3 linked regions of the Arabidopsis thaliana genome follow. The protein of the gene in region 3 purifies or fractionates together with the protein of the main gene of each other region. This does not show direct contact. Each region holds a gene or a part of one and is shown on either strand. Other genes may lie near its edges.

Region 1 (5,077 bases), 4.7 Mb from region 3:
ACATAGTGTAAAACTGTAAAGTAACAAAATGCGTATTCTTCTTAAATCTCACATAGTTCTGCCATGTATATATAATCCCTCTGCATGGCACTTCAAATGAGAATATTGAATGGAGAGTCGGAGACCATATGAAATCATGGATCACGTTCATGATAGAGATCTATATATCCCAATTCACATATATACTATATATATTCTATAATATATCATCTAGGAATACAGATGAAACTGTTACAGAGAATAACAAAATTTCGTGATAATTAAATCTAATATTCATTTATTATTCTTAATACTTTGAATATATATGGAAAAAACATTTATCTAAAATAATTCTTCTATTTAAATAGGGGACTTCAGATTTTTAAAATTTGAGTATTTTGCTTGAAGAAATGAGTATTTTTTTATAAAACTTTCCTTATGTTTTAAGATGAATTTTTCATCTTGTAACTAGACATATGATGTAATTCCAATTTCTTTTACTTTTATTTTTTATTATATATGTAATTCCAATTTCATTTGGTTTTTGCGGTTAGTTTACGAATGAATTCTACATATTACAAAAATATCATAAAATACATATAATGATCTATATTTTAATGGGGTTTTCCTCCCTTGGTTGCTCGCATGATCTATCTTGCCATCACGTCTTTTTGTCTCCCGATCCCTATAATATAGGTATGTGACAATGTGTGTCTATCTTTTTCTTTCTCTTTTAAGTTTTTAACCAATCCAATTTTTGTCAACAACACAATCCAATGAATTCTAACTAATATACTATGAAAGTGGCATATTAATATAAGTTTATATGAATGAACGAGAAAATGCACTTAGACATAAAAGAGGGAAAGAGAGATACATATGCAATGTCAACGTTGCTCAGCTTCACAAACCCATGTTATGAATCTTTTTCTTAGGTACATCAAGTCGTATGATTCTTTTTAAACAAACCATCAAGTATGATTCATTATATGGTTATATCCCAAATAAGAAAATATATAGATAAATACATTTAAATATTGCATGATGTCATGCACCAAAAAGCAACAATATATAATCAACATGATATAGAACTTCGACCCCAACTCCTCCTTCTTACTTGAACTTGTTTTTGGAATTGATATTATTTTTGGGTAAAATTAATGGTTAATTCATTTGAGTCAGGTTTATTTTCTTTTGAATTCAGGTCGGACTTTGAATTTCTTTTTCTTTTCTTAGTCAATATCATCATGGTTAGATGCGAACCATGACCGGGACAATATCGGCTATGTATTTTCTGTTTTGGTACATGTCACTATGTCACCTTGTTTAATTTTAGTTGTTCTGTTTGTGTAACTACGAGTCTACGAATACATTGTCTAATGAAATGTGTTGTTATGTTATATCACATGTCATATATAGTGTAACTCACAAAAGATGTATCATGTCATTTTCTTTATTTAAATCGTGTTACGTAATGTGAAGAACTTAACAATATATTAGCAATTTTAATACATCTGAAAATCATTCAAAAAATCGAAAAACAGAACAAAATTTTGTTATCGTAAACAACCAAGTTAAATGATAGATGAACACAATAGATCAAGGATAAAAAAAAGTTGAGATTTGAGATGAATTTGTTTTTTTTTTGTTTTTGTCACTGAAATCTTTATTGAAAGCCCATTAACTTACAGATAATAGGCCCAATAAACAAAATTTACACGCCGTCTAAACCCGATTTCCGACGACCTACAGAAAAACTTCGGTCGGTCAGTGACCCTTTAAAGGAAAGCTATTAGCGATTGATTCGAGAGATGTGCAAAGCTTGTTGATTTGAGGCTCTCTCTCTACTAGGGTTTGTTGATTTGAGTTTTCTATTCCTCCTATACGTGTTCTTCGATTCTCCTGGGATTTTTTTTTGAAAAAGGGAATAGAAGAAGAAGTTGCTGAATTCTCGATATGGAATCCATCATGGAAGAAGCTGATAGTTACATTGAGTATGTATCAGTGGCGGAGCGGAGAGCGATTGCAGCGCAGAAGATACTTCAGCGGAAGGGAAAAGCTTCGGAATTGGAAGAAGAAGCTGACAAGGAAAAGCTCGCTGAAGCTAAACCTAGTTTACTTGTTCAAGCAACTCAGCTCAAGCGAGATGTACCCGAAGTTAGTGCTACTGAGCAAATCATCTTACAAGAGAAAGAGATGATGGAGCATTTATCTGATAAGAAGACGCTTATGTCTGTTCGTGAACTTGCCAAAGGTATCACTTATACAGAGCCTCTCTTAACTGGGTGGAAACCTCCTTTGCATATTAGGAAGATGTCTAGTAAGCAGAGAGATTTGATTAGGAAGCAATGGCATATTATTGTTAATGGTGATGATATTCCTCCTCCTATTAAGAACTTTAAGGATATGAAGTTTCCTAGACCTGTTCTCGATACTCTCAAGGAGAAAGGTATTGTGCAGCCTACTCCTATTCAAGTTCAGGGTCTTCCTGTGATTTTGGCTGGGAGAGATATGATTGGGATTGCTTTCACTGGTTCCGGAAAGACTTTGGTTTTCGTGCTTCCCATGATCATGATTGCTCTCCAAGAAGAGATGATGATGCCTATTGCTGCTGGTGAAGGTCCCATTGGGCTTATTGTTTGCCCTTCTAGAGAGCTTGCTAGGCAGACTTATGAAGTGGTTGAGCAGTTTGTGGCTCCTTTGGTTGAGGCTGGGTACCCGCCATTGAGGTCGTTGCTATGTATTGGAGGTATTGATATGAGATCCCAGTTGGAGGTTGTCAAGAGAGGTGTCCATATTGTTGTTGCAACCCCTGGGAGGTTAAAGGATATGCTCGCCAAGAAAAAGATGAGCTTAGATGCTTGCAGGTATGATTTCTTTGGTTCTTTTCAATATGATTAATCAACCTGATTGTAATATATGTTTGCGTCTACTGTCTTGGCTGCCTTGTTTGATCTTATATCCTCGTTTTCTGAGTTTTGCACTTGGCTAGATTCTTGGGGATATCTGCTTATTGTGCCTGTTTTGTTGTTTCTGGTTAACGGGATAGATCAATAGGATTGTCTAGTGTCTGTTAGCTACTTAGCGCTTCATTGCTATATATGTTCTTTATTGTGTGATTCTATCGGATTTTTTCTCTCTGAATAAATTTTCCGCACTGGTGTTTCTTTCTGAATGCATCTTTCTTGTCTTTGGAGTCTTGAGACTGTGTCATTTAATTTCAAAATCTTGAGAATGTTAGATGGCAATGATGTTTACCTTCCTTTTTTTCCTTTTTTTAGGTACCTGACACTAGATGAGGCAGATAGGTTGGTTGATTTGGGTTTCGAAGATGACATAAGGGAAGTCTTTGACCACTTTAAGTCTCAACGTCAAACACTATTGTTCTCTGCCACAATGCCCACAAAGATTCAAATCTTTGCCAGAAGTGCTCTGGTGAAACCTGTGACAGTTAATGTAGGAAGAGCTGGAGCTGCGAATCTGGATGTGATCCAGGAGGTAGAATACGTCAAACAAGAAGCAAAGATTGTTTACCTCCTCGAGTGTCTACAGAAAACCTCTCCGCCGGTTTTGATATTCTGTGAGAACAAAGCTGATGTTGATGATATTCACGAGTACTTGTTACTGAAAGGAGTGGAAGCAGTGGCCATCCATGGAGGAAAAGATCAAGAAGACAGAGAGTACGCAATCTCTTCGTTTAAAGCTGGGAAAAAAGATGTGTTGGTTGCGACTGATGTTGCTTCAAAGGGTCTAGATTTCCCTGATATACAACACGTAATCAACTACGACATGCCAGCAGAGATTGAGAACTATGTGCATAGGATAGGACGAACAGGTCGGTGTGGTAAAACTGGGATAGCAACGACGTTTATAAACAAGAATCAAAGCGAAACCACTCTGCTGGATTTGAAACACTTGTTGCAAGAAGCTAAACAGAGGATTCCACCTGTCCTTGCTGAGCTGAATGATCCAATGGAAGAAGCAGAGACCATTGCTAATGCAAGTGGTGTCAAGGGTTGTGCCTATTGTGGTGGTCTTGGACATCGTATCCGAGACTGTCCAAAACTTGAGCACCAGAAGAGTGTCGCCATTTCTAACTCAAGAAAAGATTATTTTGGCTCGGGTGGCTACAGAGGAGAAATATAATCTTGTTTTGTTCCCTTTGCTAGTTATCTCATCTTAGCTGTTACCGAACTGTGATGTTTGTGATGTTTATCTTCCATATGTCACGCTTTTTACACTGAGTCGAGTTCTATCATGTCAAAATATTTCTTAGTTAATATATATGGTCGGATTCTTGAACTAAATTTTGTACACAATGTGCATGCGGTAAGGTGCAAGGTCTTTCGAATTGTATCCCTAAGGTTGCTTTTGAGTTTAGTTGTTCATTTTGGTGTCTCTTCTTTCTGTTGTTATTGTTACAAGTGCCCCTTTACACCGTTGGGTTGTATTGAAGATACATTTTCATATCAGCGCTGAAAGGTAACGTTTTTTTTTTATGGGGAAAAAGGTATAGACTATTAATTACATCATAATGATGTTTACAATGAGAAAGAGTAATATCATCTCCAATCTCCAATGGTTACATCTCGAATTTTTGGATACTATAATATGTTTGCCATGTTCTTTTTTTGGCAACATTGTCATGTTCACTATAAGACTTTTCTAGTTTCCAGTCTCATTTGGCTTTTTCACTTGGGTCACTAACTATGCACAAAAGCTTCATATAAAACCACATTCACATGCATGTTGTTATATCTCTGGACCAGATGCGAACAGAGGTATAAGGCCACGCAATACTTGGGCTGATAATTGGTGAGCCTCAAAGATCTCTCCGTCCAAATTCCACACACTCTCTTCCCCAAATGATGTAAACGTGAAAGCTCGCGTCTGCATTACCAAATATATTTTGATCAGGACCCAACCAAGTTAAGAAGATTAGAAAAGGAAAATGTTTTACAAACCTTGTGATATTCCACAAACTCGAAGTTCAAAGGTTCTCCACCTCTTTTTGCAAGCTCGGTTAGGTGCCTGTAACCCATTACAATCTCTGATATAAGCCTTACTCATAAAATGAATGACAATAGGAAAAGTCGAG
Region 2 (3,987 bases), on a different chromosome or scaffold from region 3:
AAGAACATCGAAAAGATTATGTATACAATGGCACCACCGCTAGAGTTTCTGTGGCTCAAATGTTTCATGTACATAGCATATGATCATCAATGCATAGATTATAACAGAACTTAAGTGGGTGTTAGAGCTTATGTTCCATAGACCTGATGAACTTATACAAGAAGAATAGAAAAACTAGGCATGAAAAAATCTCCATTGAAAATCCCGCTAAAATCAATTGTTCTGTCTAGTATGTGATAGTGCATGCAGAAAGGTCTGAAATTTGTGAGCCTATTTTACTATCCTGATAACCATATGCATTATTGAGCAAAAATCCACTTCTACATGAATGATAATGAAATATTTACTAAACTGAGCTATTGATACCAACAAAATCTTACACAGGTTAGGTAATAAGACAAATCACCATGACATTCCAAAGAGGTAATAAGACAAATCCTAAGCAGCTAGATCAGGAAAAGTCATGAAATGCAAGTTTGTGGCAGTTTGAAAAATAAATGTCATGAAGCTAATGGGCATAGTAGAGTAGCACAAACCTCTAAGCTGAGTAACATTAGATTTGTCCTCAAAGCTTTTCAAACGCTGGAGGATCTCATCAACTAGTTTGTGTTTAACATTAGGAGATAGTTCAGTACTAGATTCTGCAGTGGAAACCTCATGCTTGAGCTTCTTCACCTAACAAGGAAATCAAACATTGTGAGAAGAGCCAATGTGCATCTTCGAGTTCCATTTTAAAAAGCCACTAACCAATTGAAGAATCAGAGTAGGTTCCTTCGATCTTCGAATCCGAATAGATTCCTCCATTTTCCTAATCTCATCAGCTGTGTACTTAACAACTGAATAACAAAAAACCAACAGAGCTGCTTCAGATACGAATTATCATGAATCAGAGAGCAAAAATGAAAAGGAAAATAAAAAGTAGGAACCATTATCGTTATTGGAATAGATGTGGAGAGAAGAAGCATAGAGAAAGCGAAGAACAAAGAGAGCAATGAGAATGTTGAAAAAGCAAACAAGTAGAGTGATTCTTTTGAAAGAGAGAACTCCGGTTCCGGCGATCCCTCCGGTCCATTCTCCTCCTCCCCTCGCCATCTCCCTCCGCCGTCATCCCACCATTTCTCAAGATCTCGCTTCCGATTATAATTACACTTTTGCTTTAAATCGAACACTTGAAAGAGAGATTCGATTTCTTTTTTTTTTGCTTCTTCTTCCGGCGGAAAAAGGAAATCGTGGGAGATAGAGAGAGAGAGCTTTTAATTATTACTCTATTAATTTATTTTTCACTCGACAGAGACAGAGATATATACCAATCTCATCAATGCGTGTGGATAAAAACGTCGTATGTATTTCTTTGGCAGCGTCTATACTAGATAGGAAGTTTTGTAGTATTATTTCTTGCAATTGTTATGTAAATACTACATCTTTAAATGTGGTGATAATCCTATGATTCATGTCATTGCCATTTTTCAATCCAATATATGAAAAAAATGGAAATTAAATTTTTGAAAAACTACCTTTTACCTAGCTCCTTGTCAACATACGAATTCTAATTGAGACTCTCTTCTTGTAGCTTTTCTTTTCTTTGCTTATAATCAGAAAACACAACACACCCGATCATTCCCCAACCCCGGTTTAACCAAAACTCCGTGTCGGTCATATCTATCTGCGTGATCTTCCTTGAAAGTCGAGAGATCTGCTGATTAGGGTTTGGATTCGATCTTTGAAAAAGTTGGCGAGTGGATTTTGAATCATGGAAGTAGATGATGGTTACGTGGAGTATGTTCCAGTAGAGGAGCGTCTAGCGCAGATGAAGCGAAAGGTGGTGGAAGAACCTGGCAAGGTAAAGCTCACTGAAGAAGCTAAACCTAGCTTACTTGTTCAAGCAACTCAGCTCAAGCGACATGTACCTTAAGTCAGTGCTACCGAGGCCATTATTTTACAAGAGAAGGGGATGATGGAGCATTTATCTGACAAGAAGAAGCTTATGTCTGTTGGTGAATTAGCCAGAGGTATCACTTATACAGAGCCTCTCTCAACATGGTGGAAACCCCCTCTGCACGTTAGGAAGATGTCAACCAAACAGATGGATTTGATTAGGAAGCAATGGCATATTACAGTTAACGGTGAAGATATTCCTCCTCCAATCAAAAACTTCATGGATATGAAATTTCCGAGTCCACTTCTCCGTATGCTCAAGGATAAAGGAATAATGCACCCTACTCCTATCCAAGTTCAGGGTCTTCCTGTTGTTTTGTCTGGCAGAGATATGATTGGGATTGCGTTCACTGGTTCCGGAAAGACGTTGGTTTTCGTGCTTCCTATGATCATATTAGCTCTGCAGGAGGAGATAATGATGCCTATAGCTGCTGGAGAAGGTCCCATTGCGCTTGTTATTTGTCCGTCTAGAGAGCTTGCTAAGCAGACTTACGATGTGGTTGAACAGTTTGTGGCATCTTTAGTCGAGGATGGATACCCGCGGTTGAGGTCGTTGCTATGCATTGGAGGAGTGGATATGAGATCACAGTTGGACGTTGTTAAGAAAGGTGTTCACATCGTTGTTGCTACTCCTGGAAGGTTGAAGGATATCCTCGCCAAGAAAAAGATGAGCTTAGATGCTTGCAGGTTGTTGACACTGGATGAAGCAGATAGGTTGGTTGATTTGGGTTTCGAAGATGACATAAGACATGTCTTTGACCACTTTAAGTCTCAGCGTCAAACACTTTTGTTTTCTGCCACAATGCCTGCAAAAATCCAAATCTTTGCCACAAGTGCTCTGGTGAAACCTGTAACTGTTAATGTAGGAAGAGCTGGAGCTGCGAATCTCGATGTCATACAGGAGGTTGAATACGTCAAGCAAGAAGCAAAGATTGTTTACCTTCTGGAGTGTCTGCAGAAAACCACTCCACCGGTTTTAATATTCTGTGAGAACAAAGCTGATGTTGATGATATTCACGAGTACTTGTTACTGAAAGGAGTGGAAGCAGTGGCTATCCATGGAGGAAAAGATCAAGAAGACAGAGATTACGCAATATCTTTGTTCAAAGCTGGGAAAAAAGACGTTTTGGTCGCGACCGATGTTGCTTCAAAGGGTTTAGATTTCCCTGATATACAACATGTAATCAACTACGACATGCCTGGGGAGATTGAGAACTACGTGCATAGGATAGGAAGAACAGGTCGCTGTGGGAAAACTGGGATAGCAACTACGTTTATAAACAAGAACCAAAGCGAAATCACGCTGCTCGATTTGAAACACTTGTTGCAAGAAGCTAAACAGAGGATTCCACCTGTCCTTGCTGAGCTTAATGGTCCAATGGAAGAAACAGAAACCATTGCTAATGCAAGCGGTGTCAAGGGTTGTGCTTATTGTGGTGGTCTCGGGCATCGGATTCTACAGTGTCCAAAATTTGAACATCAGAAGAGTGTAGCTATATCTAGTTCTAGGAAAGACCATTTTGGCTCTGATGGATACAGAGGAGAGGTGTAATCTTGTTTCAAGGTTCGTGCTCTAATCTTGTTTCGAACTAGCTATCACCGAATTGAGATTTCTTTACTCATTATGTCATCTTGTATTTTCGTGGATCTGTCTGTAATTTGAAATTTTGTTTCACTCAAATGAGAAACTTACTAGTTCTTTGTTATCTGTAGTATGTGACAAAACAAAACACAAAAGAATCTTGCTATTGGTTGATCCAGCTTTCAGACAATGATGTTTGTATTAAATATTAATTAATTAAACCCTCTCAACCAATTAGAGGTTTCTTGGCTTAGAAAAGCAACGATGGGCCCAAAGATGCCCAACACAGAAACAGAAAATATGAAAATATTAGTCACCGGCTCTACTGGTTACTTAGGCGCACGACTCTGCCACGTTCTCCTCCGTCGTGGCCACTCCGTACGTGCATTGGTCCGCCGCACCAGCGATCTCTCTGACTTACCTCCAGAAGTTGAGCTCGCCTATGGAGACGTAACGGATTACCGTTCTCT
Region 3 (6,571 bases):
CACATGCTATGATGTTTCAAAGAGCATTTGACAACGGAACTTTTGGGCGAATGTATTCTTAAGGGAAACTTATTTGATAAATCGTACACCGTGAGTGACATTACATAACTTACATTAGGAGAAAACTTCATATTCTTTGGAGAAACACTAAAGTATACCGTGATACATGTGTTTGGATGTCTTACGTTAGCACAGTCAAAAGCGACAAGAGAATAAGTTTGCTAGATATATTTTTTTCGTGCGTTATCTATCTCTATGCAAAGAAGGGGTGCACTTTTGTTTGATCTTGACACTAGAGAGCAATTTGCTTCTCGAGATGTCACAATCATTAATGACCACTTTTCTTTTCTCAACCAAAAGGTAAAATCGAATGTATTTACATCTGATATGTTGTCGAGTATATTGTTGCAACTAATGAGATAGGTGAATGGCATATAGACTGAGTAAAAAGCATATGTTAATAATGTAGATGCAGGCGAGTATACACGATTAAGTAAAAAGCATATGTTAATAATGTAGATGCATTTCTCAAAGTTGGTTTAGGTTAAAATCTATTTTGTTGCTTTTTTAGAGTAAAATAATATCCTATGAAAAAATGTCAAAAGTAGCTACTGCCTTCAATGTGAAAACAAAATAAGCCACACAATCTGCGAAGCTGTGCTTAAAAAAAGACTTAAGATAAAACCGTACGAAATCCGAAATCTTAAGAAATGGTGCCTTGCTTTTCCTTTTCTTACGTATAAACACGCTGTCTGAATCCAAGGCTTCGATATCGTAAGACTAAGGCATGCTATATGTACACGCATCCATATCTAAAGTTTCAAGACCTTAAAAACCAAAATAAAACCGTTTGAAATGAAATGAATTAAGGCCACGTGTAATTACATCACACGCCTTTTCTTTTTCTCAGGTGTTGCGTGTACTTGAGCTTTGATTCCATACGTTCTCATTTGGAAGTTTTCAAATGCCTCAGAAACTGCTTCTACCTGTTGATCAATTTTGCAAACCAAAAATAAAAACGTTACTTCGTGTGCATCACTAGAAACCATAATGTATTAAAGATTAATGAGGGTTAATAATAATCACTTACCAATTCTGGTTTTTTGGCATATACTCTCACTATCATGTCTTGATATGTTGTTGGTAACAAGTGACTGACTCTGTCCTCAGGTATCACAAACTTCTCTGCACTATCATAATCCTGTAAACACCATATAAATCAATTTATTGAGATTCTGTGTTATTTTCCTCTTTACACATTTACAGAAGCAAATCTCAAAAACAAGACCAAAGACTTTTCTGTATGTACCTTATAGAAGTTGATGCTGAAGGAGCCAGATCCAACACAAAGGTAAGTTGGTTAGAATTTTAATGAGGGAAACTGAGAAAACAAAGAAGCTAAACTGTACTTTTTTTACCATTCAAGCGGATTTTCTCTCCCACGAGCCAAGTCAATCTTGACGTTTGTAACAGCTATATCTTCTTCTTTTAGTGTCAAGCTTGTGTGCTTCTGTTAAATCAGAAAGCAATATAAGTATGGTAATGGACTGTACAATATACTTTTCCTCTATTTAAGTGCTAAAGATTGTACAAACCTGAGAACAGATGATATCTTGAGGAGTGACAGCTTTGAAATGATCGATTTTGTCCTTTGGAACCGCATATTCGTTACAGAACTGAAAGTCAAAATTCATACAGGTCAATCTTCTGAAGGGAAATTCTTAACCTAATTAAGCATAAAAGAAAAAGAAGAAACTGGGTGAAAATTTTATATACTTGGTACAACTGCCTTCTGCGAACACGGAGTATCAGCTCTTTCGCTTCTGCAAGTTCTGGATCTGGAGCTATTTCGATAGTTTTGAGGATTGTGTCGTCTAACTGCATTTGTTTATGGAGAACAAAAACTATGTAAACAAGCAGAAAGGTAATATTTGTCTTCTGAGGAAGAACTGTACCTTCCAGTATTCAGATGGGTCATTAATCATAGAAGAAATTTCCAAATGATTGTTGGCTTTGACCATGGCATCTACTATCATCAGCTCTATCGCCTGCAAATGAATGGAACGAGACAAGTGGGAAAGAGAGAAAGAATAGTCAAGGTACAGAGAGAATGATAATGGTATAATACCTTTACTTTCGAATGCGTGTAGACGGTTCGATAAAGATCAGCTCGAGTTGCAAATAACTTGTGGACACTAAGATCTGAAAAATTAACCGGGTTTAAAATGGGATAGAAGCAAACGCAAATAGAGAATTTAGGTGGGCAAAACTTACACTCCTTGGCGCGGAAGCAGATTTCATTGTCCAGGACTCTCATCGTCTCTGTCAGTCTAGAAAGTTCTAATAATTAGCAATTTCCTTATTAGAAACCAGTGAAATGACTATAGAATAGAATGAAGACCTTTGGAATTGAAAATTGGATCCCAGTCCACAAGCTCGAGAATCACGGACAAGGTAGTCAAACCTATAAATATTTGCAGACATTAAAAGTTGATGTTGTAAGATAAAGGTTCAAATTTACGCACCATGATGAGTGAAAAGGGAAAGAAAGAAACTGCAGACAAGTATACAGGTAAAGAATTACTTGTCCACATCAATCCCATTTCGACCATTAGCAACAATATCATACAAGAAACGCTTCTCTGCATTGCCCTGCAAATTATGAAAAAGGGAAAATATATACAAAGCTTAAGTAGTTGTTCATGTTTGATTAGAATAGAGAACATACTTGTTATAAAACTTACTTTCAGCTGTGAAAATTCAGTACTAGCTAGTATCATGTCCTGGTCAGTTAACATTAGAGAAAATCATCAGCAAAGAGACAAAGGAAGCAATAAATATTAAATTGGATTTGTAAAGACTGGAAATAATGTCACAATTTCCAGTTTCAAATAATAGAGGCCATTTGAGGGAAGCAAAACAGTCTTAAGAAAGAAAGTTACCTTCACTCTTTTCAGCATTTGAGCATCAATATCGATGTGATGTGTATCAACCATATGGTCAATCATGTTTACAGACATTAACTCATGAGACCTGCATCGAAGAATTGGCATATAAAGAGCTAGAGATAATCCATAGAAGCCAACTACTAAAAGTTAAGGCATAGTTCTTATAATATCAAGTAACACCATGGCATTGATCTTTTCAAGGAATGTGCAAACATACCACTGACAGTCACTTATGACCTTTGGAAGGAATTCACGCTCAAACATATGACTGAAAGGCCCATGGCCAATATCATGGAGAAGTCCTACACATACAAACAGATCAGAAATTGTATCAAGGAATAATGTAGTCATTGAGCTAATAATAGTTACCACTTACCAGCAAGTCTCACAGTCTGAAGATCATAATTGTCAATACCAAGCTCCATTCCCTATAGAAAGTTAAGCACGTACATTACAAACCTTACCATACTTAAATCAAAATGTGACTGCACCACTGAAATCCAAATTAAAACCTGGAAATTTTTTAGCCTCTGAGCAGTTTCGCCTGCAAGCCAATACACGCCTAGAGAGTGCTCAAATCTCGAATGTACAGCTCCTGGATATACCATGTTTGTCACTCCTGAACCATTAAAGAAAAACTCCTCTCAACGAAAGAAGATACACAACTCAAGACTCATTTCTGTTAAAACTAGAAACCTTAACGAAGAATCTCCTTAAAGTTTTCAAGGAAAATTTCCTATATTTGACAATAAATACATGTTTATCGATGGGGGGAAAATAGACATAACAAGACTGTCTTCTTCGTTAAACAAGAGGAGAGGCAACTTGAGTTGAAAACGCAAGCCAACTCACCAAGTTGCTTTAGTTCACGAAGCCTGAAACAAGGAATTAGAATAATGAATCAGAACACTGTGGTTTTAGCAAGTCATTCATTGAAGGAAACAAGCACAATCCAAGACTTTACCTCTGAAACTGCTCAGTGTCAATGAATTTTAAACAAAGCTGCAAACCAAAAAGTGAACTATTAGTACAGATGCCATGTTGAGTCAATAGTAAACTACATTTGGGAACTATTAGTAATGAGATTCCATAGACATATGAACGTAGGCACTCTAGTGGTTTAGAGAATATGAAAACTCTTGTTTACACAGAAAATACGAAACAATTTTAGCAAAAGCCATTAACACCAGTAAATTTTTGCAGTTGGTTCATCAAATTAGTCTCCGACTCAAAACTCAACCATACATTTCATAATTTTCCGGTAAACAGCAATCTCTAATCCATCCGTGACTCGATAGTTCAATTAAATTCCGACGAAATCACGGCGATGAATGTAAGATAAACGAAGATAGTATCCAGATTCCAACTAGAACAAACGGCACCGGAATTTCAACAGAAATCTCCATAGAAACAGTTCTAGAGCGTCGCTCCTTATCTCTCGCAAACGAACCATTAGGAATCACAGAAACAGGAAACGAAGATGATTATAAGGAAATCAACCACTTACAGGATCGAGATAGATGTTTCCATGAACGTTATCGTAGACATGCTTGCTGAACCGGAGCTCGTTCGCCGGAGCGCCGGAGGAGAACACCGGTAAACTACTTAGGTTTTCGTCGCAATACGCTCCCATCAGTTGAAATTTCACGTCGAACTCACTCACTCGCCGCCGTGAAGCAGTTACGTTGAGAGAAACTGAAATGGGTACAACGACGAGAATTGAGAAAGCGATTTTAAAAGCTGCAGAGAGAGAGAGAGAGAGTAATGATCTTTATTAAATTCCTTTTTGACGTTTTTATGCGATTAATATTCCACTAAACCTTAAATGAAAGGAAAAGTTTCGAATAGATCCCTGTACTTTGCTAATATTCCAATAAATGTGCATATATTTAAAATTACTTAGATTAAAACCTCAACTTCTATTCCGAGTATTTTTTGGCAAATATAATGACAGCAAACTGAATTATCACGGATGTGGCATATGCTCATGCATTTTGACTTGATTCTAGTTAGAAGATAATTTATGATTATCATGTGAGATTAATTTTATTTAATATTAACCTTTTCTGATTATCATGTGAAAAACCATTTTTGTTAAATTATTGGATTTGAATTCCATTAACAATAGATTTATACAATTTTATTTTTTTGATTCTAACAAAATAATGATTTAGATAGTTTTGATATAATATCTTTTTTTTTTTAATCGCAATTGTTCATTTCTTTGCATAAAGTAAAATCTAATTTTTAAAAAGAAGCAACTTTTGATAACCAAAAAAAAAAAATTGACAACCAAACTTGCAATCATAAGACAAATCAGCATTTTTGTAAAAGTGTGAGCGTTTTGGCCAATATATTACATAACTTCTAGTTTGTTGTGCATATAGTTTTAGTAAAGGGGTTTCTTTGTATTAAATGGAAAATATAGGGCTATATCGCAAATTTCGTGTTTTAGGTAGAGGTTGTTTAGGTGGTGGACTGGTGGTGGAGAAGTGGGTTTATGGTGACGGTTCAGAAAATCCGGAGGATGATCATCGTATCTCAACCGATCAGTTACGGGATAAATTAATTTTGGTATCGTTAAAACAAATCGAACCGGCATTTACCAGAACCAAATTGGTATTTTATAAAAAGACCCATTTACGTGGACGCTCGAGCACGTAAGCCCAAAACCAGATTATTGTGTTTATGAATCCCTTCTTTCTCCTTCTAGGGAATCGATTTATTGCTGCTCTCAAATCTTCCCGGGAAAAACACCGGCGCTGTAATTTAATTGGTGTGGCTCCTGATCTCTTATCTAATGTTCTATACTTGGCTGTTGATTTTGAATATTGTTTTTGCTGCTCTTCTTTTAATGATACTTGGCTCTTCTTATCTAATAAAAATACTTTTTAAATTACTACTTTAATACCTTCCATCATTACTATAAACTACTCTTACCTTCTCTGCTTCGTTAGCAGAAGCAAACTCAACAAAGCCATCGCCCACATGCTCGCCCGTGTAGTCTACAATAAGTCGAACATGTACAACTTGTCCAACGTCTTTGAAGAAATTGATGCTGTAAAACAAAGGATAAATATTAGTCATGAAAAATTTGCTCCAGTAAAATGAAAGAGAAAATTATCGGTGCTACTTACATATCTGATATTTGAGCTTCCGGAGAGAGACGGGAAACAAAGAGCGTCTTTTTTCTTACAGCAACTGCCTGAATATAACAGCCAAGTGTGTTAGCTCGACTCTTTAAGGAGAAAGAAAGAACTAAAATTGCATAACAACAAAAGTAGATTCATCCCCCAAATAAGTCATCTTTCGACTTTGTGGCAACAGTTCTGTTATTAAATATCTAAGCCTGACATATTTTGAAGATAATAAGAACAGGTACCTCAACAAAATTGGGAGTTTCATCAAGTCCTTCCACTGCTGTCTCATCTTATTCTATCACAAGGTTTTGTCGTCGAAGGTAGTCTTCGTAACTGAAACATCAAAAATTCTAGTGATCTCATACCAAGAACTACACCCAATGTGCTCATGATAACAAAACTCACAAGGAAAATAGTTAAATCCCTTACCAAAGCTTCTCTGCAAGGTTGTACCTAGTTACCAAAAATAATAGCGTTAGTCTT

The links.
Region 1: the proteins of AT5G40270 (region 3) and AT5G51280 fractionate together in Arabidopsis thaliana (co-fractionation; one large-scale study listed by BioGRID). This does not show direct contact.
Region 2: the proteins of AT5G40270 (region 3) and AT4G33370 fractionate together in Arabidopsis thaliana (co-fractionation; one large-scale study listed by BioGRID). This does not show direct contact.

What each region holds. Positions count from the first base shown.
Region 1 is NC_003076.8:20,839,521-20,844,597, forward strand, and holds AT5G51280 (DEAD-box protein abstrakt), read left to right. Parts: upstream 1-1,718; 5' UTR 1,719-1,935; coding exon 1,936-2,846; intron 2,847-3,260; coding exon 3,261-4,125; 3' UTR 4,126-4,472; downstream 4,473-5,077. Other genes in the region: ACD5 (Diacylglycerol kinase family protein), read right to left, coding at 4,732-4,869, 4,944-5,010.
Region 2 is NC_003075.7:16,069,169-16,073,155, reverse strand, and holds AT4G33370 (DEA(D/H)-box RNA helicase family protein), read left to right. Parts: upstream 1-1,750; coding exon 1,751-1,840; intron 1,841-1,948; coding exon 1,949-3,487; downstream 3,488-3,987. Other genes in the region: AT4G33380 (dimethylallyl, adenosine tRNA methylthiotransferase), read right to left, coding at 537-675, 748-836, 927-1,092; FLDH (NAD(P)-binding Rossmann-fold superfamily protein), read left to right, coding at 3,782-3,987.
Region 3 is NC_003076.8:16,092,513-16,099,083, forward strand, and holds AT5G40270 (HD domain-containing metal-dependent phosphohydrolase family protein), read right to left. Parts: upstream 4,732-6,571; 5' UTR 4,582-4,731; coding exon 4,456-4,581; intron 3,951-4,455; coding exon 3,913-3,950; intron 3,824-3,912; coding exon 3,801-3,823; intron 3,568-3,800; coding exon 3,461-3,567; intron 3,377-3,460; coding exon 3,325-3,376; intron 3,251-3,324; coding exon 3,166-3,250; intron 3,034-3,165; coding exon 2,943-3,033; intron 2,784-2,942; coding exon 2,745-2,783; intron 2,653-2,744; coding exon 2,585-2,652; intron 2,465-2,584; coding exon 2,402-2,464; intron 2,331-2,401; coding exon 2,275-2,330; intron 2,203-2,274; coding exon 2,129-2,202; intron 2,049-2,128; coding exon 1,956-2,048; intron 1,879-1,955; coding exon 1,777-1,878; intron 1,677-1,776; coding exon 1,596-1,676; intron 1,511-1,595; coding exon 1,419-1,510; coding exon of another isoform or gene 1,415-1,418; exon of another isoform or gene 1,326-1,414; coding exon 1,310-1,325; intron 1,202-1,309; coding exon 1,091-1,201; intron 987-1,090; coding exon 882-986; and 2 more.